Danio rerio: one gene and its partners. The protein of the gene in region 2 binds, or shares a complex with, the protein of the main gene of each other region. Links are inferred from orthologs where the notes say so. Each region holds a gene or a part of one and is shown on either strand. Other genes may lie near its edges.

What was found.
Region 1: the proteins of med24 (region 2) and med1 are in contact, whole or in part, in a cryo-EM structure (PDB 8T9D), measured with the Homo sapiens proteins. The link is inferred for Danio rerio from reciprocal best matches to the Homo sapiens genes MED24 and MED1. Residues at the interface, in NP_055630.2 of Homo sapiens: Lys7, Ile10, Trp14, Lys15, Arg17, Leu47, Ala50, Met51, Ile52, Gly53, Pro54; in NP_004765.2 of Homo sapiens: Phe375, Asn377, Gly436, Leu437, Gln439, Glu441, Ser453, Asn459, Asp460, Ser461, Leu462, Val463, Cys464, Tyr480, Lys481, Gly482, Asp485.
Region 3: med24 (region 2) and med31 share a complex: the UniProt entries of both Homo sapiens proteins name them as parts of the mediator complex. The link is inferred for Danio rerio from reciprocal best matches to the Homo sapiens genes MED24 and MED31.
Region 4: med24 (region 2) and ccnc share a complex: the UniProt entries of both Homo sapiens proteins name them as parts of the mediator complex. The link is inferred for Danio rerio from reciprocal best matches to the Homo sapiens genes MED24 and CCNC.
Region 5: med24 (region 2) and med19a share a complex: the UniProt entries of both Homo sapiens proteins name them as parts of the mediator complex. The link is inferred for Danio rerio from reciprocal best matches to the Homo sapiens genes MED24 and MED19.
Region 6: med24 (region 2) and med21 share a complex: the UniProt entries of both Homo sapiens proteins name them as parts of the mediator complex. The link is inferred for Danio rerio from reciprocal best matches to the Homo sapiens genes MED24 and MED21.
Region 7: med24 (region 2) and med18 share a complex: the UniProt entries of both Homo sapiens proteins name them as parts of the mediator complex. The link is inferred for Danio rerio from reciprocal best matches to the Homo sapiens genes MED24 and MED18.

Annotation. Positions count from the first base shown.
Region 1 is NC_133187.1:16,863,666-16,867,422, reverse strand, and holds part of med1 (mediator of RNA polymerase II transcription subunit 1), read right to left. Parts: intron 2,549-3,757; coding exon 2,416-2,548; intron 2,325-2,415; coding exon 2,296-2,324; intron 339-2,295; coding exon 267-338; intron 176-266; coding exon 101-175; intron 1-100. UniProt on the Homo sapiens protein: Component of the Mediator complex, a coactivator involved in the regulated transcription of nearly all RNA polymerase II-dependent genes.
Region 2 is NC_133187.1:11,211,274-11,215,030, forward strand, and holds part of med24 (mediator of RNA polymerase II transcription subunit 24), read right to left. Parts: intron 3,590-3,757; coding exon 3,507-3,589; intron 3,360-3,506; coding exon 3,181-3,359; intron 502-3,180; coding exon 402-501; intron 268-401; coding exon 92-267; intron 1-91. UniProt on the Homo sapiens protein: Component of the Mediator complex, a coactivator involved in the regulated transcription of nearly all RNA polymerase II-dependent genes.
Region 3 is NC_133196.1:43,308,229-43,312,701, forward strand, and holds the start of med31 (mediator of RNA polymerase II transcription subunit 31), read right to left. Parts: upstream 3,023-4,473; 5' UTR 2,883-3,022; coding exon 2,861-2,882; intron 2,365-2,860; coding exon 2,290-2,364; intron 2,105-2,289; coding exon 2,008-2,104; intron 1-2,007. UniProt on the Homo sapiens protein: Component of the Mediator complex, a coactivator involved in the regulated transcription of nearly all RNA polymerase II-dependent genes.
Region 4 is NC_133179.1:6,195,655-6,200,150, reverse strand, and holds the start of ccnc (cyclin-C), read left to right. Parts: upstream 1-1,540; 5' UTR 1,541-1,630; coding exon 1,631-1,662; intron 1,663-2,161; coding exon 2,162-2,268; intron 2,269-3,406; coding exon 3,407-3,491; intron 3,492-3,668; coding exon 3,669-3,738; intron 3,739-4,338; coding exon 4,339-4,390; intron 4,391-4,496. Other genes in the region: ngs (notochord granular surface), read right to left, coding at 456-706. UniProt on the Homo sapiens protein: Component of the Mediator complex, a coactivator involved in regulated gene transcription of nearly all RNA polymerase II-dependent genes.
Region 5 is NC_133189.1:26,390,882-26,395,105, forward strand, and holds the end of med19a (mediator of RNA polymerase II transcription subunit 19-A), read right to left. Parts: intron 3,471-4,224; coding exon 3,374-3,470; intron 3,294-3,373; coding exon 3,205-3,293; intron 805-3,204; coding exon 739-804; 3' UTR 546-738; downstream 1-545. UniProt on the Homo sapiens protein: Component of the Mediator complex, a coactivator involved in the regulated transcription of nearly all RNA polymerase II-dependent genes.
Region 6 is NC_133179.1:2,082,910-2,086,898, reverse strand, and holds med21 (mediator of RNA polymerase II transcription subunit 21), read right to left. Parts: upstream 2,575-3,989; 5' UTR 2,530-2,574; coding exon 2,488-2,529; intron 1,875-2,487; coding exon 1,760-1,874; intron 1,674-1,759; coding exon 1,573-1,673; intron 1,001-1,572; coding exon 821-1,000; 3' UTR 506-820; downstream 1-505. UniProt on the Homo sapiens protein: Component of the Mediator complex, a coactivator involved in the regulated transcription of nearly all RNA polymerase II-dependent genes.
Region 7 is NC_133191.1:7,708,631-7,713,164, forward strand, and holds med18 (mediator of RNA polymerase II transcription subunit 18), read right to left. Parts: upstream 2,997-4,534; 5' UTR 2,731-2,996; coding exon 2,658-2,730; intron 886-2,657; coding exon 332-885; 3' UTR 185-331; downstream 1-184. UniProt on the Homo sapiens protein: Component of the Mediator complex, a coactivator involved in the regulated transcription of nearly all RNA polymerase II-dependent genes.

The DNA of each region.
Region 1 (3,757 bases), about 5.7 Mb from region 2:
AAAATCCATTTCAAAGTATGGTGCTCTGCTCCACCCCGTATGACCAGGATCTCTACAATCATCCAAAACTTTTTGTTGACAAGGAAATCAATCAGTGTACCTGAACATATGCATCATCTTTGTGAGGTCTAGCTCCAGTGACTGAAGTGCCAAGTACATCTTTGTCTTTAATTTGCTGTGGAATAAGATGAGAAAAAGATATTGCAATGCAAGTCACTGGAACTGAAAGCACTTTATGATTTAATAAACAGAAATGGACACCATACTTGTCTCCAGGGAGATTGTACAGGTTGACCAGACCCTTCAGGTGTTTGGAAAACTCATCAAAATTCTTGTCTCTGTAAAACAAATGTTTATGTTTAATGCTGTGTTACCGTACATTAACAACTTTACAGTTGGAGTTAAATAACACACACACACACACACACATATATACACATATATATACACATACACATATATATATATATATATATATATATATATATATATATATATATATATATATATATATATATATATATATATATATATATATACATATATATATACAGACACACATATATATATATATATATATATATATACACACACACACACACACATATATATATATATATACACACATATATATATATATATATATATATATATACACATATATACACACACACACACACACACACATATACATTATATATATATATATATATATATATATATAAATCTGTCAAAATTAGTGCGTTAACGCATGTGATTAATTTTAAATAATTAACGCGTTAAAAAAACGCAGTTGCAGGTTTTTTTTACTTCCTGTTGTGGTGGACGTGTGTTTAACATGCAAGAAATGTGGACAAGACCAAGGAAGCACTTTTTGAAGGCAAGTTTCAGTATAAAACAATTAATGTCTCATCACCAGGTTATCCAGAGTTTCGTGCAATTTCGGATGTTTAATTTTTAACTTTCGACTTCTGTTGTAAGTTGATACCGCATGGCGAACAGAAAGAAAATCTTCCGCATTTCGTGACTCAGTATTCCTTTAAGGTAATAAAATAGCTGCTTAGGCTACACTGTAGACTTTTAATAAGAGTGTAATCTTAGTCATATTAAAATCGGAGTATTGGTGTCTTATGTAACTGTACTCAGAAAGTCTTTGGTGAAGTCACAAGCTGTCAAAGACAGGCCATTACTCTGCCTTTCAGCATGAGCCCTCCAAGTATTGCATGTTTCCTCATTAAACGCAACGAAAGCGTATGCTTCACGTTGTTGTGTCAGAATCCTTGTAAAATACAATAATACTTTAGAACGCTTAATTTAAGCAAATTTGATAAACGCAATGCGTGTTGAATCTAAAGGGAATCGCTCCAGCTCGTTGTGTGTGTGTCTGTGTCATATTTGTATTCAATAGTTTATTATTATAATTTTACATTTCCATACATGTAATGCCTGCATTTTGGCATTTTTTTGCAGTCCACTTACAATCCAACATGGAAATCAATGTTTTTTTGTTGGCATTGATTGTTTTGAAATTCAAATGGCATTAACATGCCTGCGTTTTAATTTCTGTAATAAATATGGCTGTCAAGCCAGGATCTTGATGGTTTATTGTGGGTATGTTGTTTACATGAAGAAATCTTTGTTACAAGTTAAATATTCATTCATTTTCTTGTAGGCTTAGTCCCTTTATTAATCCGGGGTCACCACAGCGGAATGGACCGCCAACTTATCCAGCAAGTTTTTACGCAGCGGATGCCCTTCCAGCCGCAACCCATCTCTGGGAAAACAAGTTAAACAAAAATTCTAATAAACAATTATATTTTGAATCTAAATAGTTTTTGTCTTGCGTTTACATAAATTTTACATTTGAATAGCCAAAATTACAAGTTTCAGTCTTTTAAATGCGATTAATCGCATTTAGTTAGTTAATTAGTTAATTTTTTAAAATCGATTGACAGCACTAATATATATATATATATATATATATATATATATATATATAGATATATATTTACTGTGAAGAAGTCAGTAGGTGAACGGTAATGCAATACAGCAAATATTTTATTTATCTTTTAAATGATGCACAACATTCTGTCGACCATCATAAGTAAATTGTTTTGATATCAAAACCTAGAAATTTTAAGGTTAGTATTTTGTTGTATGAAGTGTGTTTGATAGGGCAACAGCAATTACATTCACTTAAAAGTGTTTTGTCGTCCCAAACAGCAATTTATCCATTAACAGAAATGCATACACCCTTTTGCATAGTTTTACTTTTCTTTAAAATGGGTTTCTTACCGTAAATGCTGTATCAGCTCAGGACAACTCTACATGACAATAAGAAATAAAATCAAATGTAAGTGGACAGAAAAAATACATCAAATAGATATATTTACAATAGCCACATCTCCCTCTCACCACAGGATTTTCACCATGGTGGGCCACTTTTACATCCATGAGCTTTCCACTTTTATCCATATGCACCTCAACGTAGAACATATCAGAGGTGATATAGCATTCAGTATGTGAAGGACTCAGGTGAGATCCCAACCTGCAGCCATACATCATTAAAAGAAAAGAAAGACAAACATATATTAACTTATTAAAAGGTATGTCCTAAACTACAGTTAGATCAAGTAGAATAAAGTAGAAAAAATGCTAGGTATGTATAATATGTATGGGTATGGGTTTCCAAAGCTTAAGTGAGCATTGCTTTGCTTTCAGAAAATCATGTGAACTTTGATGAAGCCTCAATTTTCGTTCAATGACTTATAAAACTGCCTTCCTTTTTAAAGGTGCAAATTTAAATATCTGAATAAGAGAATCCTCTTATTTGTATGCTTTAAAAAGAAATGGTGCATAATACCAAATTTATAGTAACATGAAATAGTTAAAGCTATCCAACCGTTCTGGGGCTCAGGTGTGGGGCACTTTTTTACAATATACAAAGCAGTTCAAAGTAAATGCACTAATATATTTGATTTAGCAAAGCACTTGACAGACTGACATGCAGAGTTCTATAAACACCCTTACAGAAAAGTCACATGAATTTCATGTGATCACATGTGACAATCCACTGTGTTCACAACTTTATAATTTAGAATGTGTAAAGAATCTTCACTATACATAACGTTAACAACTGGTTCTGCAAGCACAAAAAACTAATGTTAATTTTAATCAAACTTGATTTTAAGTTATTTGGAAAAAAATACATCACCTATAATGCTGTTCAGAATATTTGACCATTCAGTGAGTGATGCCAGTCAAAACCACGCCAAAAAATAAAATAAATAAGTAAATAAAATTCAAGCACCTTTAATTGCAATTGATGCAACTGTAATAGTGATGTATCAGTTTGTATGTATCCAGTTTTCTCTTTAAACACCTTAATTAAAATTTGATTGAATAGAGTTGATTATGCTTAAATGTCAGTTTATATTAAATAAAATAAATTTAGTACTTTTTTCCAAAAAGAGCTTCAACCCTTAGATCCCCTTATAAAGAACCTGCCTTTGACAGTACAACGCTTAAAGGAGATAGTCCAAAGACTCAGCAGATGCTAACAGCTCTTTTTGTAAATGATAATTGTTCTTCCAAAGACAATTTAAATGTCTTAAAAGTAAATAATAATACAAAATAGCTTTTATGGTGAGCAGTATCTACTTATTTAATTTATGTATCTCATTACAAAAGTTTTGAATGTCTAATAATTCATATTGAATTTCAGCACCTGAAGCCCTAAAGTGTGCTGAAGAAATCA
Region 2 (3,757 bases):
AGAAATCTGTTTGTTGATATTCACAATTTAAGACTTTGAATGGGAGTACTTTAATGTGATTCTGTAGTCTGATGTGTGAGGAGATGCTTACCGCTCATGGTAAAACTGCAAAGTGTTTTCCCCTGACATAGGAGTCATGAGCTGACGAATCATAGTCTGAGGTTTTTCTCTCTCATCCAATCCCAGCATCCGAACGTGAGCCACCAGCCATGCCACTGCACAGATGGCCATACTGCACACCTTTCCTTTTATATTATCTGTGATCTTCTACACTCACAGAAAAACACATCTTCAGTTACAGTCATAAAGAAGAAACTACTGTGTGACATTCATACTATTGGTCCCGAACTGTCAAATGATGGGAATTGTGTGCCATTTAAAGACTTCTTAAATGCCCTCACCTGAACAGCCTCCACTGACAAAACTCCATTTTCCCAGGCATTCAGGACCTCAAGTATAGCTGCAGGAGTACTAAGACATATTTCATGCCATTTCATCTGACTGGGAAGAAGAAAGCATATGTTTGACTTATCTCACAGGCAGGACAAAACAAACCATTTTGTGGCCAATCATTACTTACTTGCATACGTTCCATACTTAAACAAAACACACTGTCCTCTCCCAAATCTGAGCAAATTTTTCATCAAATATACATACAACAAATATGCACTTTTGGATCTAGGTTCTTGGCCTGCCAATTCACATCTGGTAGTACACTCTAAAACTACACAAATGACTGTTAGGCTAATAGTTTCATTTAAAGACAGCAGACCCTAAAATATAATCCCTGATTATTATTTTATTTTTTATATTTTTAATTTTAATAAGACACTTACTTACACATTTTTAACTCAAACGTATTTCAGGATCATAAAACAAACACCTGTATCCGAGCAACAGTCAGCTCTCAAAGAGTGATCAACAGTTCCACATTAGCAAAACGTTTTGCTATAGTGAGATATGCTCCCAATCTTGGATCTATTATTCAAAACGAGTCATCACTTATCTGATGTTACACTGAATGATTAAGATATTTTCTTTGGTGTGGTGTCTAATATAGCGGTTTCTGAATGTAAAAGGTATGCAAATATTCAAAAGCATACAATAAATGAATTTGTTGTGTCATAGAGAATATTATTCAGTGATGGTCAATAATTCAGGCATTACTTCATGCACAACCCTATGTAGGTTTGTAACACATTTGAAAATGCCAGCCTTTAGTTTTCACTGTCATCCTATTAACAACATCTAAACAGTACAGTTGTGGTGTCAACAGGTCAAAAAGAAAATTTTTGCATTGTTTATACTCGACATGTCCGCTAGTTCGATTGAGTGGGCGCAGCGAATGTGACGTTATCGCAGTGTTTGCGGAGGTTAGGTTTGGGTGTACGCGTCATGATTTCGGCTGGCGGAGCGCATGATTTTTTTGAGACGAGCGAACAGTTCGCACGGCGCCACAACTGATTTGAGTTGATTATGAAACACTGAAGAGATTTTGTCTGAAACAGGTTCAACTGTAGAGACATCTTTATGATTCATGTTCATAGATATAACCAGATGATCAAAAATTCTTGGCTAAAAATTACAACATTAGTGGGAAAGGAAGAATGTTTTTGCTAAAACATTTGGGAAAACTTGAGGGATAAGTTTGTTAAAGCCAAAAGAGGCCATGGCAAAAGTGGAGACCCGGATACACAATTACAGAAATATGTTTTTCCATTCATAGGTTTTACACTAATGTATATATTATTTTTTTATTTAAAACAATATAACAGTTACAAAACTAACAGAACAAATAATTTCTTTGATAACTGGAAAGGAATATTTGAACCTATCGGTTTACAATATACTGATGGCCTGTTTTTCTAGGCTTTATTGGTGATAATGGTCAAGAATGTTGGACCATTATCTCCTTTTTAGCATAAGTAGAGGACAGAAACATTATCAGACAGTAATGTGTAAACTGTGGAGCGGGCTAAATCTAAAATAATTTTTAGTAATTGTAATGTTTTTTTTTGCTTTTATAAAAATACATTTGTAAAGCAACCCATGTTCTGTTGTCAATGATATTTTAATAAACTTTAATAGGTAAAACTGTCCGAGATATGAACATAAGTTCAAAAGATGCATCTAAGTTTGACTTAAAAAATCTTAAATGGTTATAAAAATCCTTATAATCATTAAAATAATTTATTAAAATAATAAAAATTATTTGTTTAAAAATCTTGAATGATATTAATGATATGATGTAGTCTGTGTTTATCCGTGTGATTTTACGGTGGGGTTTTTTTTAACCACCCCCTGTTGTTTTGGCGAATGCGGCAAGTATAAAAGCCCTGTCCGTTTTGTGAGGTGCGCGCGCAGTCAGCAGAGGTGTGTGATGCGGCGCCAGACGAAAGAATAAATCCAGCTGAAACAAATACACTGTATGAATCCTCAATGAATGAAAGAAAATGCGTTTTGACAAAACCATTGCCACGTTATTGTTTCTATCATTGTATTTACAAGTCCAGAGGAAGCCACTTGCAATTAATTTAATGAGCTGTAGACCAATCACTAAAAAATGGTGCCTATTTGACAATCCAAACACTCAAAAAGAGAGATTTAGAAAGAGTGGATCCTTGAACATGAACAGGGAATGTATGCTACACTGTAAAACCCAACATTCAACTTTATCAAGTGAAATGAGTGAAGTTAACTCAAAATTGACTGAAAGTTAATTCTACTCATTTGAAAAGAGTTTTGAACTCAAATTAAATACCTCATTACTTCAACTCAAATTAAGCAAGTTCACAGTACTCATATAGATTAGTTTTTGAACTCAAATGGTTTGTTGCAATCAGTTTCCTCAAACAGTTAGAGTTGCCTTGACTTATTGGGTTTTACAGTACTCCATTGGTTTGAGTTCTCTTCACTTATCAGGTTTTACTGTGCTCAAACTGCTTAATTTACTTAAATGGATTAAGTTCACAATACTCATTAGGATTTGTTTTTGGACTTAAATGGTTTGCTGCAATCAGTTTCCTCGAACGGTTTGAGATACCTTAACTTTTTGGGTTTTACAGTGTAAGAGTATATATTTTTTGTTTACTTGATGGATATACACTTATTGCTAAAGACCTTCAAAACAAACTTGTTAAATAGAGTAATAATGGCACTTTAAAGAGAAGCACCACTTACACAAGCTTCATCTCAGATGAAGAATTAAGCAGGGCCACCAGGCTCTCCACCTTCCCAGACTCAGGTCTAAAGCAAGGGTGGTCTGGATTCAGGGTCTTCCCTTCCTCTGGCATGCACGTCTGAAGCCATGTCTCAAAGAAAGGGGTCTCGCTTGATGGGCTGGGGTCTGAAAGAATCACCTGGACAGACAGGAAGTAGGATATGATCGGAGCGTTTTGACTCAGTTGTGACTCTGAGTGTTTTGCGATGACAGGATGTGATTAAGAATTATATAAGAACATTACATAACCTTATCAGATTGAAATTATGTATGTGTAAATGCTGACCTCTGATCCATACGTCTGTACGACATGACACAGCATGAGGAAGGAAATGTCGAATAGCAGAGCTCGTACTGATGCAGACTTCGCTAGAAAGTAGATTGTTAAAAGTGAACTTGTGCTCAGATTTGGCTGGGTAATGTGCTGCTCAAAATACCCAAATATATATCCTTAATCTTCCATTATAATTTACAAAAATACATAAAGAAAAAATTAGAAGAGGGCAAAAATTCACAGCGAATAAACATAATAGCCTG
Region 3 (4,473 bases), on a different chromosome or scaffold from region 2:
AAAGAGAGTACGTCCTTCCAGAAGTTATGACTATGAGCCTTGCCAAAGTTACATATTTATAAACCACATGTTGCTTCAAAGATAATATGTTTGAAGTCAGCAGGAAACAGTGTGCTATGCTTCATCTGTAAACCTATCAGAGCTTGTAGAAATGACGGTAAATGCTTATCTCTTATTGAAAGAATGAATGTTTCTGTTAAACATGGCTGTTCACTTTCAGAAGTTGTAGTGATGTTCTCTTTTCCCTGAAATCATATGAAATATTTCATTGATTTGATATTTTTAATAAAATATTGCATTGAATTATTTAGAATGCTTAAATCTTTTCTGTTCAGTATCACACAGCACTAATGGTAAGCGACCTACAATTTGGCACCATATTGTCTGTTTTTGCTTTATATTGACAAATAAAATAATATAACTTTATAGTTTAGGTTATGTAAACTGCAGATTTATGGAACAAAATCAAAGTATTGTTAAAAAAAACAAAAACAAAAAAAAAACGTATTGAATAGCACAAACTGAAACAAATAATATATTAAATTAACAACTGCTTGCATTTTAATGACTTGGATTGCCAGAGTTTGTAATTTTAGGTCTTGAAATTTAACACAGCTGTTTATTTAAGCTGTAAATATTTCAATTAAAAATTTTTCAAACACGTTTTTATACTTGAAAATTCTTATACTTATTTTATACTTAAAAATAATAATTCTTAATTTCCGGATTTCATGTATAATATTCAAAAGACAATTTTCAACTCACTTTATTTCAGTTCAAAAGTTCTCTTCCATTAATTTAGTGGATCAAATTCGGCTGTTAAAATTTAACAAGGACAATATTAAATGCTACTTTTGTGCTGTTATTAGCTTTTTCCCTTAAAAAGGGAGTTTTTAAACCTTTATTTAATGGTTTAAAAATCTTAAATTGGTCCACCTGCTAGTGAAAAAGCAGCTGGAGATTGCCAATCTGCAATCTATTGCTGTTCCTGCAGTTCCCGGAAGTAATGTCGAATTTTAAGAGCCAAATTTAAACCACTGAATTTTTGGAAGCAAAATTTTAAACTGAAAAGTAAACAAACTGAAAGTTAAATTTTGAACATTATGCTTCATATTTTTCACCAGTATTATATATTTAAAAATTGAACTTTTAATATATATATGAAATCTGGAAATTGAATATGAATTGTTGAAATTTTAAGTATAAAAACATGTTTAAAATATTTTTAGTTGAAATATTCACAGCTTAAATAAACAGCCGTGTTAAAATTCAGGCCCTAAAAATACAAACTCTTGCAATTCAAGTCATTAAAATGCAAGCAGTTGCTTATTCAATGCATTATTTTTTTTCAGTTAATGCTAATCAACAAACTTTTTATTTCAATACTTTTGCCATTAATTTTGTTCCATACAGATTAGGCACACATACTAAACTTGTAATTCAATTTACATTTTTAAATACAACTATATACAGCTAAATTATTAGACCACCTGTAAAATTCTTAATTCCTTTTCAAATATTTTCCCAAGTCATGTTTAGCAAAACAAATATTTATATTTCTATTCTAAACTATTACGTTTTAACTTATATAGAATGTCTCATTTCTTTATTCTGGTGGCATTAAAAGAATAAATTTCTTAAAACGTTACGGTCGATATTTTTCACCCCCTTAAGAACTTCTTATATTCGACTGTCTACAAAACAAACAACTGCTGTCAAATGACCAGCCTAATTGAGCTAGTCAATTTTTTAAACAGGACTTTAAGCTGAATAATAGTATTTTACAAAATAACTAGTAAACTAATAAATAATTAATAATACTAACTAATAAATAACTAATAATAAATAACTAATAAATATTATGCACTAGAACTACACGATATTGAACAAATTTTATATCCTTCTTTCTTTCTTTCTTTCATGCTTTTATTAGAAGCACTCATCATCCAAAGAAGAAATGTTTGACAAATTAACAATCTATTTCAACAAGAACAACATGTTACTTACTTTAGAAATTTAGCATATTCTGGTTCCTTCCAATAAAGCAGATACTTTAAATAATTGACGAAAGGCTTCTCTCTCAGGTAACCTCTCTGAGCCAGAACTGCAGGATGGGGGGAAAAAATTAAGATTAATAATCATTATCCATCTTCATATTTCGACCACAGTAACAAAATTACCTTGAATTTACAGAATGTAACAACCAATGAGTGAATTTGACCAATGACTAAAGTAATGACTGAATTTAGCGAACAGTAAAAAAGAAACAAGAGTTAACGTTGTTCTTACAGTTCAGGTAGTTTGGGTTTGCCAGACATTGAACAAACTCCAGCTCCAGCTGAAAGCGCTGTCTCGCCTGCTCGTCTGTCAAAGCACAAATAGAAGCGTAAGCAATGTTTGTGTTTGAAAAGAAATAATACAAATAATCATTAGTAAATGTATTCATGAACTACCAACGAACAATACTTGTATTAGTGCATAATTAAAATGCAAGTTCATGCTTGACATTAGTTGATGCACCGTAAGTTGAGATTACTTTATTTCATTAATACTTTTAACAAAGACGAACAAACACTGTAATAAATATAACGATTCTTGTTTGTTCATGTTAGCAAACATTGGCTAACGACGATACTACCTTAATGTTAAGTGTTACAGAAATTGCTTGAACAACATATATCTGCGCCAGTACAGAAAATAACACATAGTGTAGTACCTCTAAAACGTTGTATAACTTAATATGATCAAAACGAAACTAAAATACGTTACCAAACAATTGTATTTACGTTAACTGTCACATTGCTAGGAATCTCGTGGGCAAAGATGTGCTAAATAACAATTCAATCTAATTTTAACAAACCTGTTTCCATAACACCAGCCATTACGGACAACGAGAATTCAGACGACGCTGAAATATCTGGAAAATGATTAGTATAAAAAGATTTTTTAGAGCGCGATTACCAAAAACAACACATTACTCATTGTTTATGCGGACATAGACCGCTGACGCCATTTTTGCCATAAAACCAGTGCTGCTGTCGTAAAAGTGTTTCACGACATTTGCACCTTTTTTTTAAATAATAAAGAATGAAAACTTACAACCACAATCAGGAGATCAATATAAGAGAGATACAAAATAGGAACAATACAAACTACATTTGTAAGGGGTAAGTAAATTACACTTGTATAAAATTGTATAAAAATAAATTAATTAAGAGCTATTTAACTCAAATCAGAGTCAACAGTTCTTCATGTAGAGCCAAGTATCTGACACATTTTTTGTTGTTGTTACACGTACGCAAAGATTTGAGCAGGAGTCAACTTTAATGAGAAAATGTCGAAAAGTAGGGACTGAAACAATGCATATTTGTATAAAATATTTCCAAACAAGATAAAAAGTTGAAAACAAATTCTTCAGATTTATTCTGAGTAATAACAAACACTTTATTTTAAACTAAAATATTGTGCAAAGGTAGGAGGAGTGTTTAATAACGATAAAGGTCAAACCAAAATTTCTGAACAAATTCACACATACAAAATAATTGTATTAAAGTTTCATCATCCTCACCACAAAATGTACAACTACTCGGAATATCAAAATGTTTAGAAACAAATAAGTAAGCCGAATAAAGTTCAGGCAATATTTTAAAAAAGTATTTATGAGGCATTTGCACCTTTTTTTTTCGTAGTAATATTTGTAGCCTACAAAATACATTTTGTGACTTGGAATATAAGAAAAAAAAATCTATTTTCCATGATAATTTGGTTAAAAAGGTGTTCTATTGGTCTCACAGCTTAAAAGATGAAGGATATTTACTGACTTATAGGCTACTGAATTTTTTTGAGAAGTTTAGTTCCTGTGCCTCCACAAGGCCTGGCGGGGCTTTTGCAGAGTTACAGTGAACCAAATAAACTAACAGTTAAAAATGAGATTTAATTACATGGTGTTGATTTCAAAGATAGAAAATGTAATAATAAATTTTGTAGACGCTTGATTTATTATCTTGCCACTTTTAGACACAAATACTTTTGGAATAATCTGAGAATATCTATTGGAACTTGATCTGGACTTATAACAACAAGTATTGTGTCACTAATAAAGTGAAATTATACATAAAATATATCCAACCAACCAATTTCTCAAAAGATGATCAAAAGTTGATCTTTCTGAATTTGTGTTTATTTGCGGAGTGGATGTTGAGACTCTTATGCATTTGTTTGTTGATTGTATATATGTTAAATATTTCTGGCTTTATGTTGAATGTCTATTTAATATACTAAGTGGTCACAGAATTAATTTAAAGAAAAAGAGATGTCAGATGCGTAGATCAAAAAGATATAGATAAGAATCCCCTGTTAATGTTAAATCTTTTGATATTATTAAGTTTCATATACACAAGTGTTATTGTTCAAAGAGAAAGCCTAACATTTTTCATTTCAAAGCTGATTTAAAAAAAATATTTTTATAATCTT
Region 4 (4,496 bases), on a different chromosome or scaffold from region 2:
ATTTTCCTTATTTATTCTGCATTATTCTTTACATTAAAGGTGTCAGGCTGCTAATAAAAGTATAGCCTATTATTTCCTAAAAATATATAGCCTACAGTTAAAATATTTAATTATTGATTTACATATTTTTAACTTAAATCTGTTATAGGCTACTGATTATAACACAGTAAAATTATAATATTTTTCTTAAAAACACAGTAAAATATTTAATTATATTTTAGGCTACATCATTATTTGATTGTCCGGTATGAGCACTTACAGTACAGAACATTAATTTTACATTACATTTGTTAGGCTACAAATAACACAGTGAAATACTATGGTAAAGTTTTTTCCTAAAATTAAAACTTAGTCAAATTTTTTATTATTTATTTAGGCTACATACGTATTTGATTGTTGAGTATGAGCACGTTTATTAGAGAACATTAAATATATTACATTAGATGTCTCTTTACCTGGTCATGCGTGATTTGCGTGTCCCGGACAGCGCTCTGCGGCCGGTGCTGCGGGAATAGCTGGCGGACCGGTGTCTAGTCGCCCCGCGAGTTGGAGAAGGGCTGGAGACCCGGACCTGGAGGGTGGACGAGGCGGCCAGGCCTCCCTCAAAGTGCCTGCGGTAAGAAGACATCCTCTCCGGGCTGTAGCTCATGTTGAAACCGGTGGTCCTGAAACAGAAGCGTGTGATTGTATCCTCACACTCATTCATGCGGTAGTTTTATACCTGCTGTCCCGCAGAGGAATCTCGAACCTCGGGCTGACTTGAACTTAACCCGCTGCTGAACAATCTGACGGGTCACCGCGAAGAGTTTTACCGCAGTAAAAATAGAGGAGCGAGTTTTCCTGATGCCTGAGATCTTTATTAATCACATTCTCTGCACTAAAAGTGTCGAAAACTTTTTGGAGATTGACAGTAGCCTGGTGTTGACTTCATCGAGGAGGTGCATGCTAATTATTAATCATAAATTAACGGTTTATGGTCACTGTAGCCTTGTATATTGGGTAAAAACAAATGATAATGTAATAAAAAAATGACAATGTAAAGTTTGTTTATGGCTGTCAAAGACAAAAAACATGAGAATCTATATTAATACAAAACAATATCATTATATTATAATATATTGCATTATATTATATTATATTATATTATATTATAATTAAATAATAATATTGTATATTATATTTAATTATATTATATTGTATTATATTATACTATATTTTATTATATTATATTATATTATATTATATTATATTATATTATATTATATTTAATTATAATTAAATTATAATATTGTATATTATATTTAATTATAATTATATTATATTATATTATATTGTATTATATTATACTATATTTAATTATATTATATTATATTATATTATAATATATTATATTATATCATATTATATTAAAATAATTTCGATTAGATAAATATAAAGTTGATGCCAGTAAAGTCCGCAAAAACTCTTCCGGAACTGATGCGTTTGTTTGTTTCCTCCCGGACCGTTTTAATCTTCACATTGAAGTTCCACGGAGTGTTTTTTCTGTCGCGCTCCTCATCTGATCTGAACGGAGCATCGATTATTTTAAACACAATTTAACAGCACATTAAGGTTTATTTTCTACCTCAAGATGGCAGGGAACTTCTGGCAGAGTTCACATTAGTAAGTATTTTCGTATTTACTACCTAAATCACGCACAATAAAGGATTTTTGGGGGTTTTGCTGCGGTTACGGGACCATAAGAGATATAAAAAAACATTTCAATTGTCATATTTGAATTATTAATGCGAACAAAGTACCACATTTTGGTCATAACCAAGACTCAAATACGGAGGTTAGATTATTTGACTTTTATAAATCTAATAGTTTAAATCGTTGACTTATTAGCTTTAGCTGTCTGGCTAGTGAAGAAACCACAGAGAAATTAATTTGTGAATCATTTGCATAAATATCGGTTATTTACTACGTGAATTCATTTTCACACATTAAATTTACATTTATAAACTCAATTAAAGTAATGTTTTAATGCTAATATCCAGATATGAAGTGACTGATACATTTGTTGTTTGACTTGTAGAGTGTATTTATTACACGTAAATATTAATATATGTGTGTTACACTTTAATGATTTGTGAATTGAAAGTGTCTTTGTTCTTTTCAGTCTGCAGTGGGTTCTGGACAAGCAGGATCTGATGAAGGAGAGACAGAAAGATCTCAAGTTCCTCACAGAAGAGGAGTACTGGAAACTGCAGATATTTTTTGCCAATGGTTTGATGAGAAATTGCTTATTTAGTTGTTTTGTTTTCTCTTTTCTGAATCTGAAACTGTATTTCTAGACTAAGTGCAAAGCAAGACCAAAATATTCAACAATATAGTATTTACTCATGTTATATGACAATGGCAGTTCATTTATATAGCATAATTAAAAGCAACCCATGTTGACGGATGTGCTTAACATTAACTAAAATCCACAAACAGCAAGAATAAGTCAAAAACAAGTAAATAAAAAGGCTAATTAAAAGCTTTTACGTGGTTAAACGCCAGTAAAATATGAACTAAATCTTATTCATGTGTTCAGTGCTTTGTCAAACAAGATAGTTTTTATACTTGGATTAAAAACGAAACAGATTTGCAGCTAATCTAATGGAAGACGGGGAAATCATTCCAAAGTGTAGCAGCAGCTGCAGAGATTTCAATCTAAATTTAGGAATCAATAAAAGTCTCTCATCTGATGAGCGATCAATTAATGATAGATGGGTTTAAGAGACAATGTGCAACAACTTTTATTAACATGAGTTTTTATTATGCATAGTAAGCATATTAACTATGAGTAAAGTGTCTACTTTCATGCTTTAAATAGCTTTTGTGAAAATATTGTTTCCTCATACTTTGGTGTAATAGATAAATATATATTTTTCATGTTTGCAAAGGTATTTATATCATTTAAATGTAGTAATAATTTAAAAATATGCAAACAATAGGTGATCTTGTTCAATTTTGTTGTATTTTAAATAAGTTTTGTTGACAATTGGTAAATCTTTTTTGTCATTTTAACATATTTAAATAACAATACTTTTGGGCTACACTGTTATCTGTTAATATATCATCAGATGATTGATCTTTCAAGATTTATTTGATGTTAGACATTTTAGGGGGAGTTATCTGTAAATGTATGAAAAATAATGGCACTTTATGTTTTGATGCTTAGAGCCTTAATTTTTTGACCATATGACCAAGTGTTAGGTTACCACATATACTGTGGAGCGTTAATTGAAATGTATATATTTTTTTCTGTTTTGTATTCATTTGTATTTGGTTTTGGGATTTAAATGCAAAGCTAACTTAAAGCCTAAAAGTTTAAACAGCTTAAACACTTTAAAATGTTTAATTCGTCCTCTTGTGACAGTGATTCAAGCCTTGGGCGAACACTTGAAACTCAGACAGCAGGTCATCGCCACGGCAACTGTCTACTTTAAGCGTTTCTATGCCAGGTGAGCAGTGCAGTGCCATCATTAAAAGCTTGTTTTCTTCTAAAGATTCCTCTTCTAGATTCATCTAGGCTCTTGTGTTTTTCATGTAATGTGGTGCTCTATTTTTGTTCTGTGGCTTTCATTTAAGTACTCTTTAGTTCATGAAATAAAAGGAAAAACTCTTGGCTGTTTTTTCAGGTACTCTCTGAAGAGCATTGACCCTGTGTTAATGGCCCCAACATGTGTGTTTCTGGCCTCTAAAGTAGAGGTAAATACTCTGTCTGTATATAATATAAAGTGCTTGGCATAAATGAGTAAAACATTTTTTGAAAATAAATATTTTTTTACCATGTCTCAGTCATCATAGGTAATAGATTTTGGCATATTTGAACAAAACAGATTTATTAAACTGATATATTTATTAAAATATTTTTTTTGTCACCAATCATCTTTAGAAATAGAAAGATAATGCATGTACAGTCATGCAAAACATTGCAAAAAAATGACAAACTGAAATTTCAACTATATGTTACATTTTTTTTGTTTTTCTTGATTTTTATTCTATTTTTTACAATTTTATTTAATATTTGTCTTATTATATACATTTGACCTAATTTTTAGACCGTCATCATACTTTTTTTTTAACTTTTTATTTTTTTATATTTTTAGCTCCAGAATTTGACTTCAGTACTGACTAAACTAATGTATATGCACAAATATAATATTGTAAATCATCCTATAGAAAATATTAACTTAAAAGAGAGATTTGTGAGGGGTGTACTGAGCACTGTAAACACAATATTTATTCAGATTTCTGCTGAAAGATGTTTGAAACTGCATTTTAACACTAAAATTCTGCTGTCAACAGGAATTTGGTGTCGTTTCAAACACTCGGCTTATTTCAGCAGCAACGTCTGTGTGTAAGTGGGTTATATTTTACAATCATAATTTTTTTTTATGTTAATAAAATATATGTATTTTATATTATATTATATGTTATATGTTATTATTATGTTATTATATGTT
Region 5 (4,224 bases), on a different chromosome or scaffold from region 2:
GGCTGGTCTGAGTATTTCAGAAACTGCAGATTTACTGGGATTTTCATGCACAACCATCTCTAGGGTTTACAGAGAAAATATTTAGTGAGTGGCAGTTTTGTGGTCTTGTTGATGCCAGAGGTCATAGGAGAATGGCCAGACTGGTTCTTCTAACTGATGGAAGAAAGGCAACAGTAACTCAAATAACCACTCATTACAACCGAGGTATGCAGAAGAGCATCTCTGAACGCACAACACATCCAACCTTGAGTCGAATGGGCTACAGCATCAGAAGACCACACCGGGTGCCACTCCTGTCAGCTAAGAAAAGGAAACTGAGGCTACAATTGGCACAGGCTCACCAAAATGGAAAATAGAAGACTGGAAAAAACTATGCCTGGTCTGATGAACCTCGATTTCTGCTGTGACATTCGAATGGTATGGTCAGAATGTGGCATCAACAACTTCAGGCTAGTGATGGTGTAATGGTGTGGGGGATATTTTCTTGGCACACTTTATGATCTGTTATTGTGAACAAAAAAGAAAGAGTGTGTTTAAAGACTGTATAAAGAATAACAAAGTTTATTCCTTGAGCTTTTCATCATAACCAGAAAAAGAAGTCAAAAATCATCAACAATTGGCCCTTGTAAACATCAATCAACCGCACTGGTCCATATCAGATTCTCTAACACAGTTCAACATCACTTCATGTGTGCAAACATACATACAAACAAGCACACTCGCACACACACAACTGTTCTATCTCAGGCTGTTGCTGTTGGGTTGAGATCCAGTAACACCAGGATGATCAGGACTGTGTCGATTCTAAAAGAAAAGAGGGAACAGACCAAGACCTTTTAAATGCATTAACAAGACTAAATGGGGTGTACTTTAAATGTGACAGGTCCCAGCAATAAACAAGTAATTATTCTACAACATAATTAAGGTATCAAGTAGATTCTAGGGACATATTCTACACTGTGCAGACCATCGATTTGATTTTGAATGCCACTAACATTGAGCATTTAATATTGTGTTATAGGGATGCGCAATATTGGAAAAAATATATCTCTGCAATATATTTTACAATATGAATAAAATTTCACCAGATGACTGTCTCTATTTGGAAATAATTTATAAAATTAGATTCTTATAATTACTATTTTTAACATTTTTGGGGTCCTCTGGCACATTTTCATTGTGGTCTGTGCTATTTGCAGTGCATTTCTGTATTTGCATGTGTTGCGAGTATTTTCATGCACAACAATCTATAAATACAATCAAGAAAAAGATACAAATAAAGTGTTTTAATACAAATAAAGTGTGAGTCTAACAGTATTCAAGTAAAACTTGAATGATAAAAATAAAAAATAATTAAAAATTAATTGTTGTTAAAGTCACAAATGGTACAATTTCATATAGCTGAATGTTTTTAAAATCATTTATACAATCAGCGGCATCAAAAACACATGCAAATGTGCGATGTGACTATAGCGAATGATCACATTGTGATATTGATGCTGAAACAATATGTTGTGCAGCCCTAATGTGTTATATTTTAATATTATTTATAAAATGTTATACTGCAAAATACTGTCTTGTTTCCTATTGTGAATAACTTATCAGTTACTTAAATCAAGACACATTTATTGAGAAGCAAGATGTCTAAAGTAAGTTTGAAAATTTATTTAGTTTTAGTAAAAGATAAAAACAATGATTTTATTCAAATAAATTTAAGAAAAAAAATTAAATCACACACACATGCATACGGTTTAAAGCATAAATGAGTTGCAACCCTTTTGGAAAATTCCTATTTTTTTTAATCAATTTCTCTGTGAATCGTCAATATATTTTGGTGTTGTATCAAACTGTTATATTTATTCAAATTAAATTAAATCGCCTAACGCATTCAGGAATAGAGAGACAGAAAATTTGTACAAAAAGTTTCTCATTAAAGGTGCAGTAGGTGATCTGCCAAAATGCTAACCGGTTAGCATAATATCTTAGAAAACAGTCCCACCCCTATTTTTCAAAGCCACGCCTCCTGAAATCACAAACACGCACTGCAAAGATGACAGTAGACAGCCCACTAACTCTTGTCATTCGCCAGTTGAAAAACTTTACAATACTTTATTACTGTAAAGTACAAAATACTGTATTATATCCAGCATGTTTTCAGTCGTGTAGCAAGCAAAACTTGTCATAATGTGCAATATTTCATCCATACAAGGATCGTTGGTCTCACTCTCTCCCACGTTTTGTCCTAAAGCCACTACTGTATGCTTAGTGGTTGGCTGGCGGGTGCAGGAATTACACTTTCGTGCATATAACACATCCGTGAAACAACAGAATCTACATCAGCTTTGTGTGACTTAATAGTTTTAAAACAGAACATGACCTGTCTAAAAGAAATACTTCAGCCATGGTCTCGTTCTTCCTCCAGCATAAAAACTAACTTCAATATTGATTCAGGATTATAAAGTTTTGTTTCAGCATTTGTTTTTACTGGTCGCGCTCTCTCTCATGTGCACGTGAACGCACGTGCACACACAAACGGCAGATTTGCACGAATAGCAGCGCAGATGTACAAGTCTACATTTGTTGACAGACAGTTTGGGCTACTTATCAGAATTATGGGAATTAACATTTTTTAGTCTTATGACTTACCCAGAATACAAAAATACATGTAAATACATTTAGATCATTTAATTTAATCATTACTATAGGAATGTGAAGAGACTTTCAACCTGCACATCAAAAAATGTTTCTGTAGACAATCACCTACTGCACCTTTAATTAATTTGGCTGGTCTCATTTTTAGACCGTGATGTTAAGTCTTTTTGTTAGATCAGTTCCAGTCTTAGCTTTAGTACTGACTAATCTAAAGTATATATGCACAACTATATTAGTGTAAAATATTCATGTAAAAGAGGGCGCATTCATTAAGCTTACACATCCTTTTAAATGTAAAATAAACACAGTTTACTGTTGAAATAATATTTGTGTGAAGCAAAAATGATAAATAATTATAAAGAGCATTGTTCAAGGCTGCTCAGATGTTACACCAAAGCAAAGCTGCTTCCTATGTGTATACATTTTTAAAATTTTAATAACGCATTATTATTTATACAGGAACATCCTGTAGCATTCAACCTTGTTCAACAATACACTTTTTAATTATTGTAAATTTGTAAGATTCTGCGCCGCATCAACAAAGTGGCTCACCTTTTTTTTCTTCTTGTCTTTCTTTTTCTTCCTGCGTTCAGGTTCATTATCTTTCTTTTTCTTCTTCTTGGTGGGGTCAGTGCGGGTTTCTGCACAGGGAAAGGAAGTTAACATGCATGTGGTGCACAGAGGAAATAAAATGTGAAAATCCATGAGCTTTTGAAGTGACCTAGCGGTAGAGGATCCTGAGGGTGATGATGTCTGTGTTTGTGTTTGCTCTTCTTCTTTGGTGGCTGTATGTGCATCAGTCTGTACTGCTCAGGAAGCTGCAACACAAACCAACACTATAAAGATGAAGCTCAAAGAACACATTTAGATTGCTTTAGAAAATATGCTGTCTACATCTTGTTTAAAAGGGGACCAATTGTGCAAAAATCCCTTTTAAAATGGCTGATTTATACTTCTGCGTGATCGCAGTGATCCACGGTGCCTGCCTTGCGGGTAGTCGTGCATTTATACTACTGTATACATGCTGTTTGTGTTGCTCTGCAATAACACTTCCGTACACTTGCTGGCAGTAGGTTATGTTCCTCTGTGTCGAGTATCTTCATGGGTATTTCGTTTTTTCTGAACGCTACAAGTAGCTAAAACTCACTCATTAAGTGGCTGTTTAACTGGGAGAAAAATAAAGTGTCCATTCTAGTAATCTAAACAATGTGAATTTGATATGAATTATGTATATCTATTAATGTTAAAAAATAATTATTGCCATTTCAGAAGACTTCAGGATTAAAAGACGGAGAGTGAAAATAAAAATCTGATGGAAAACACATATAAACTGAGATTTACAAGTGCCACTGGCCTCTTTCTCTGGCTCAAAATGCTTCAAGCCACATTTAAACATTTGCTATCATTGTTCATTTGTAATGAGAGAGATAATAACAACTAAAAAAACTCCTCGATGGTGTTATCAAGACTTTTAGAAAAAGGAAAAAAATAGCGTGAGACTGATGACGGCAGCCAGAGGAGTGAATGCCAAATTTACTCTCAGCCCCAAAGACACTGCATTATAAACACCTC
Region 6 (3,989 bases), on a different chromosome or scaffold from region 2:
GTACAGCAAAGAAACAGCAACATGACAGCAACAGCAAGTTAGAAGGCTTAAAGAGAATGTCTGTTTCTAATGTATTGGAAGCAGATATTTACGTAGGAACAACACAACAACAAAATGAAGTGATGTTTAACACAATTTGCCGTCAGTTTAACAAGTCAACCACCTTTTATTAATAGATTTTGAACTGCAAAAAACCTGCACATTTTCCATACTGCTCTTTTTGTTTGCATAACACTTTGAATTTTGCTCATTATTTATTAAAGCATCTTTAAGTATTGAAATTCGAGATTCACAGACATTGTTTTTGACACATTATTTAAAATATGTGGCTAAAAATAGCTATCATCTTAGCTTTTTTTTCTCTTCTTTTTTTATTTTTGGTGGGGTCAGTAAAAAATTTGGCAGGGCAAGTAAAAATCTGAACCACTGGCCCGATCGGACCAGTAGAAAAAATCCATAGCGTTAAACCCTGAACAGGTCAAAGTTAAAAATAAAAACAAGCATGTCATACAATATATTTTTATTTGTTAAACATAACTTCTTTCAAAACAAGAGTATCAGCATAATGCTGGTGAGGGAAAAAAACAACATTTAATTTACAAAACATACCCAGAAGCTGACTATTAATGGTAGTAACACGCTGATGAACATTACACAAGGTAAAAAACAGAGGTCGCACAATAAAGACATGCGATGGGAAATCAGCTTTCTTTAGTCCAGAAACCGATGTGAAACAGTGAGTCTCCTGCAGTCGATGTAGGATGCGTATAAAATCCCTGCTGTGTCCCGACACTATAGTTCATGTTGTGGTTTTTTTCTGTCAGGATTCTGGAGGTGTTTGCTGACTCGGGGCTCCGCTGCGGGTGCGGAGCTGTGATTGGGCGATGTCTGCTAGTGCCGTCTGGATCTTCTCCAGCAGGGCGTCTCCTCTGTAAACCACTTCCTCCAGACGCGCTGCAGCTTCCTGGTTCTCCTCTTCCAGCTGTCGCAGACTGGCGGCCTAAGAAACGCATCAGAAATGACAACAAGTAGAGACGAGGTATAATGCTAATGTATTGTTGTTCACTCTGTACTTGGACAACATGGGTAGCACAGAGCCAGATGTGCAATATATGTGGCATGGGATGAGCAATTAACAGTAATCAAGTTTGTAATATGATTAATATCTAGCTAATTGGTCATTTGTGTATTATTGTCATGGTATATTTCAGTGTTTCTCAAATCCATTTCTGGGCTCCTACTGCTCTGTACATTCAGTGCAGCTTCTGGAGCTTTCTTCTAGCAAGATGATATTTATAATCAGGTCCATTATGTAGGCATAACTCAAAATGTGCAAAGCAGTGGCTCTCCAGAAATGGATATGAGATGCACAGGTTAAGCTGAGATTCATTTTTAATGCAACAATATAATTTACAGTTGATTTTCTTCTCTTTGAGTGCCAGAACTCAAAACCTGAAGTGCAGAACAACCATATTTTAAACAGCAGAAGGCTCAATAATTATATAATGATTCAATAATAATAATGTGGTGTTGGCCAGTGATACAGTGTGTGTGTGTATATAATAAATGTACCTGCAAGGCTGCAGTGGATTCTTCACTGGGCAGAGAGTCGATCAGCACATCAACATCTTTTGCTGTTCTTGCTATCAGCGCTGCAAACAGCTGAGCATATTCTAGAAAAAACACATCTTAGTATGTCAACTTCAAAACACATTATTTTCAAAGTGGATCACATTCAGATCAGTGCAGATGAGAGCACCTTCTGTGGGGTTTGAGGGCTGGTCTTTATTGATGGCCGTCTGGATGTTGCTGAAGGAGGCCGGTGGTGCGCACTGCTGCAGAACTCCAATCGCATTACAGAACTGATCCGCCAGCTGAAACACGACATGCAGTAAATCAGACATGCAGGACAATCCACTGTTACTTTCAGTTTACATGTTCTTTGACATGATGAGAAGTATTAGTACTCAGTGCTAAGATTGTGAATTATGTAATATATGAATAAACACAATTACATGTAATGTTTGATTAAACAACATTAATTTAAAACAATTTAAAAATAATTAATATTGCACTTTGAAGAACACAAAAAAAGAAATATTTAAGTGTACTTCACCAATATATAAGTAACAATAGCACTTACAGAAATGTATGTATATATTATATGTTATATTATAATTATATAACGGTGCCTTTTATATACACTTACTTAGATTATAATAGGACTATTATTTTCAGTTTCGTTTTATTTATAACAAGTAAAACATTTATTACAGTATCAAAACACATATGACAACAAACTTCACCTGTTCATTTGTTCACAAATTGCACGCTATGCTAACACTTCAGACGCTACAGTACATCAACATGACTTCTTAAGCAAATAATCCAATTTAATGAACCAGACTATTAAGTAAATCTGTTCGGAAGACATTTGCTGTGTTCTGCAGTTTCTGAAGTATAAAATAAACGTTAAATGAGTCTTACGGAGTTCACAGCATCCTGAAGCTGCGTTAGCCTGTCGGCCATGTTGGCTCCTCTTCACAGTTTCCGTTTCCGCCGAGCGCGTTCAATGCTACATCACGTGATACAGCGCAGCGTACAGCGAAAGCGCTCGTCTACTGAAAAGTTGTTGCATTTTCGCGCAAAGCAGGAGTGCTTGACACTTCCGGAGGCTGGATGTGAAGCTTCAACATGACTGCCGAATGTAAATGCTTCTGCTAAAGCGTGTTTATGGACTGGACTGATCCGGGAAAATGCCACTGAAGAGAGAATGTTTGGTTCTGCTCGTCTTGTCGTGGGTCGGTTCACTGCGCGCTCAGGATGAGAGTGAGTAACGTTAAACCCCTAATACCTTCTTTATTACGCTTGATAAAATATATAATCCCTATATAACGCACATATGTGGCAAATAACAGTTGTTTAAAGTGTGACTCAGCTCATTTAGCGACATATGAATCGAAATCAATCATGTCAACTATGTATTTCTAATCAATTAGTGATTGATATGATGTTGCAACTGATCTAAAGTTCACCGTTACGCTAAATAAACACAAACATCCCAAAATATCTTACTTATCACGCTTAATTAATTATATAATCCCTTTTAAACGCACACATGTGACAAATAATTCGTGTTTGTAGAGTGAATCAGCTGCCGACATATCAATCTGAAATAATAATCCTAAGAATGAAATGCTGATCAATTAGTGATCGATTCGTGTACTGATTTAAGGTCAATATATCAATCTGAAATAACCCTATTATTGTTACCACATAATAGCTAACATAGAGGTAACGTTGCTTTTATAGTCGCACATTCGTTTATTTAGCAGTCTCTGTATTGTTTACCATGTTAACGTTAACGTTACTTTGAATATTCGATAGACATTAGCAGGCAAGGATGACTTCAAAACAACATCGACAATGATTTCCCTATTTAGAATTTGTAAACATTACTTTTCTGAAATTACCTTATTGAGGAGAAAGTCTGAATATGTGAATATAAAACAGACTTTACCTCTATATAGCTAACTATTATTGTTCTAGTGTATTTGGGTTTTATGACTGCTTGTACTGTTTATAAACTGGACTACATTGATATTTATGAGGTGATGATTGCTGATAATGTAAATACACACACACACACACACACACACACACACACACACACACACACACACACACACACACACATACATACATACATGCATATATATGTGTGTGTGTGTATGTATATATGTGTTTGTGTGTGTGTGTGTGTATGTATATGTATATATATATATATATATATATGTATATATATATATATATATATATATATATATATATATTATAATTTAACACTTTAGTGAATCTTAGACAATGCATAAAATAATTAAATACATAAGTGACTGATTTATTTATTTGTTTAATTTTTCATACACAAGAAAGACATTCATTACGACTAATATAGTAAGAATATTAATCTCACACTTGGGAAGATAATA
Region 7 (4,534 bases), on a different chromosome or scaffold from region 2:
CAACATGACAAATACCGTTTAAAACTAGTAACATTTTTGAAATACATATTTTTATTTTTTTCCCAGAGATGGGTTGCGGCTGGAAGGGCATCCGCTGCGTAAAAAACTTGCTGGATAAGTTGGCGGTTCATTCCGCTGTGGCGACCCCGGATTAATAAAGGGACTAAGCCGAAAAGAAAATGAATGAATGAATGAATATTTTTATTTAAAGATTTTAATTAGCATTTCATCAATTACAAAAAAAGAAAACAATCATCAAAAATATTCCAAATAAATGCAGTCTTAACACCTATTCACCGAATTAAAAATCTCAGTCTGTAGGTCATGTTCTCTACATGAGTCTTTTGGGATCAATCTTCTCCAGGTGAACGAGAGGTTTGAGCTGTTCTGCGAAGCTCCTCATGTCCTCAGACACAGTGTCCTGTCCCGCAGGAGCCAGAACGCTCAGCTCAACAAGATACGACAGAGAGAGCGGCTCCGTGTTATCCGTGTTTCCAGGAACCAGCACACGCGACAGTTTGCTCACCACCACCTTCATCACACCCTTCCGGAACACCTGACCCTTGGCCACGAACTCATGGTCCATGCGGAAGCCCATCTCATTGAGGAAGTCAGGCAAGCTGTGCGAGGCTGCCACGTCCACGCAGTTCCGCACCAGGGCATGACGGCTTTTGTCGCCCACCTCGGGCTGACCCAGATAGCGCAGGTGCCAGGGGACGGAGGGGTCGAGGAGCGAGCGGCGGGCACGCAGGATGAACGGGTTGCCCTGCTGACCTTTCAGGAGATACACCAACTCGTGATCAGCAAAGCTCTCAGGCTCCATGTTATCACACAGGCCCCGGAGGCGATGCAAGAGACTCTCCAGAGATTGGTCCAGTACACTGCCTGTGCCAAACAAACCAACAGAACACAGCCAAGTCAAGATGGATAGATAGATAGGGGGTGGGATGGATGGATGCATAGATTAGGGGCATAAATAGATAGATAGATAGATAGATAGATAGATAGATAGATAGATAGATAGATAGATAGATAGATAGATAGATAGATAGATAGATAGATAGATGGATGGATGGATGGATGGATGGATGGATGGATGGATGGATGGATGGATGGATGGATGGATGGATGGATGGATGGATGGATGGATGGAAGATTAGATGGATGGACGGACGGACGGACGGACAGATAGATAGATAGATAGATAGATAGATAGATAGATAGATAGATAGATAGATAGATAGATAGATGGATAGATAGATGGATGGATGGATGGATGGATGGATGGATGGACGGATGGGGGATGGATGGATGGATGGATGGATGGATGGATGGATGGAGGGAGGGACGGATGGAGGGACGGACGGACAGACAGACAGACAGATAGACAGACGGACGGACAGACGGACAGACAGACAGACAGATAGGGGAATGGATGGATGGATAGATAGATAGATAGATAGATAGATAGATAGATAGATAGATAGATAGATAGATAGATAGATAGATAGATAGATAGATAGATAGATAGATAGACAGACAGAAAGACAGACAGAAAGACAGACAGAAAGACAGACAGAAAGACAGACGGACGGACGGACGGACAGATAGATAGATAAATGGATAGATAGGGGAATGGATGGATGGATAGATAGATAGATAGATAGATAGATAGATAGATAGATAGATAGATAGATAGATAGATAGATAGATAGATAGATAGATAGATAGATAGATAGATAGATAGATAATTTAAGCCTGTTCCTATACATCAATAAAAATAAAATTGTAATTGTGACTAATTTGTCTCAAGTAATGTCACAATTTCTCGCAATGTGGTGTCAATTTCTTAGTTAATGCTTAATAAGTCACTAAAAAAAAGATGTAATTGTTTTAATAAATTTAGTTATTAAATAATACATTTCAGTTGTATTTTTTTACTTACATTAACTTATTAACTGTAATAAATGTCGATATCCCTCACTGTGGCTTTTTGTTTTAATGTATGAACTAAGATTTACTAATGAGACCATATTTTGAAAGTGTTATTGATTATACTTTATGAATTAGCTGTATAATTTTGTTAAAAATGTATTTACTCCGAACACACACAAATCTGGTAACGGTTTAAGTAGGAATGGTAATATATGACCAAATAAGCAAACTATATTATGCAAACAATAAGACTCAGCAAAAAGAACTCTCGTGTAGCACAGTGCATGCTATAATTGTATAATTTAAATTATAACAATTGTAAATTATAATACTACAAACACTACAATGAATACATTGTATACATACTATTATTATGCTAAACTATTCGTTTTATATAACGTTAGCACATTCATAAAGTAATACTGTAGTACATGTTTTTATTATACAGAATCCCAAATTAAAAGTCTTAAGGAATTAAAGAAGATTAGGGTGCGTTAAATAAAAATAGTTTAAAACGCTAGAAAATGTGTGTGTATTGTTTATAATTACATATTCACTTTAACATATTCAACGCTTTATTCAAATGACTTTGCTAATTAAAAAATTGAGATTGCTCATAATGGGTATTTAAAAACTAAGTTAAAACTATTTAATAAAGTGTAACAAATGATAAATAGGAATGAATGAATGGTAAAAGGAGTTGTGCTGATGGTGTTGTTTACCTTGCAGAAGATACTCCATCATGTTTATAGTTCCACCCGTGACGGGCATCACAGTAACCGGCGGAGCCTCCATCACTCTATTATTATTACTATTACTAGTATTATAATTCTGAACTTAAGTCTCTTAATACATTTACAGTCAACGATCAGTTGAAAGATTAACTTAAACTAGAACTTTAACTGCTGTAGAAAACATCCACAACAATAGACATGCTAAGACGTGTTAGAAGATATTATCAACAAAAAGCAGGCAGACGATGAATTAAAAATAGCATATATTGTACTTGTATCAAAAAGCAATAAACAAAACTAATGATTTGCGTAAAATACTACGAAAAAATAATGTGTCTCGATGAAACTGCGTCCATGTGAGTAAAGCGCATGCGCAGTATGGATAGCGAGTACTGCGCATGCGCATTGTGCAACGCTTGCTCTATTCTTTTAGGCGTGCATTTAGTGACACCTACTGGACTGAAGTGAACTCTTTATCATATAAAATGGGTATTAAAATTGAGTATTATTAGCCTATTATTAATAGCAGGAGAACATCAATTATGGTTGCGAAAAGCCGATTGCCCTGTTGATCAAATTCAAGTCAAGGTGTTTGCTTGCAGAAAAACTAATGGCTCTAAGAGGTGGGTGTGATTTTGCCAATGCAATCATGGAGTGACATCTATCCTGGAACATGTCCTACATGAAGAAATAATTAGGCTATTCCTAAAATACAATATATTTTTTTTTATGGAGTAATGGAAATCACTATTTTAAAATGGAAAATTATGTGTAAACAAAAATGCAATGGTGGGTTATCGGTGTTCATTTTTTAAAACTTTAAACAATACATTCAAAATTAATTGGTTAATTAAATACAAGAAAGAAAAAGACAGTAAATGGTATACTTTTCCATATGGCGCAGTAGGTAATGCTGTCGCCTCACAGCAAGAAGGTTGTTGGTTCGAGCCTCGTCTGGGTCAGTTGGCGTTTTTGTTTGGATTTTGCATGTTGAATGTCCCTCCCTGTAGGGACTAAGCCAAAAAGAAAATGAACGAATGAATGAATGAATGAATGAATGAAGTTATATTTTGTGTCAAAATTTAGTCAATGAGGGAAGTTACTTTAAGTATATTATACGTTTCAGTGCACTGGCAGGACTTTTTTTATTAATATTGTTATTATTATCATCATCATCATCATCATTTATTATTATTATATTGTTATTTTATTATTTATTTTTTCTAGCATTTTCTTAGTTATGTGCATTTCTCATAAATACCTAGTTTTATAAGCTCACGTTAAGCATATTTTCCAAAAATTATATTGTTTTAATAATTGTTATTATTTCATATCATATTATTTCCAAATAGCTTAAACATGCATATTTACCATTTACATGCAGTACGTACGTATGAACCAATGGTATGAACCATGAACGCAAAGCAGTCGAGTAACTTTTATTGTGGAAAACATTAAATGCACTGTGACGTTTATTTTGAAAATAAATCGACATGTGGAGACCTTTATTTTGAAGTTTCGTGCCATCTTAGGGCTGCATGACATCGCTGGCTGTTGAAGATGAGCTCAACTGTAATGCTTCCTGTCGACATCTAATGAATGTAATTTACTATTATGTGTCTTTTACTTACGTTTGGATGCAGTAGTGTTTGTAATCGAGACAGTTATGGTGTTGTTACCAGCTCCAAAGGTGTGTCTCCGAGTGCTGTGTTTTTCTGTCAGTCCTTATTTATTTACACACATTATCAGTCTGACACCTTCAGATAGGCGAATAAATGCCTCAAACACATTAGATAAGTTGGTCTTTTAAAGATGTGTCGTTTTAAAGTTGTTCGTTCCTGTGCTGTTTGTCATAAACAGTGTTA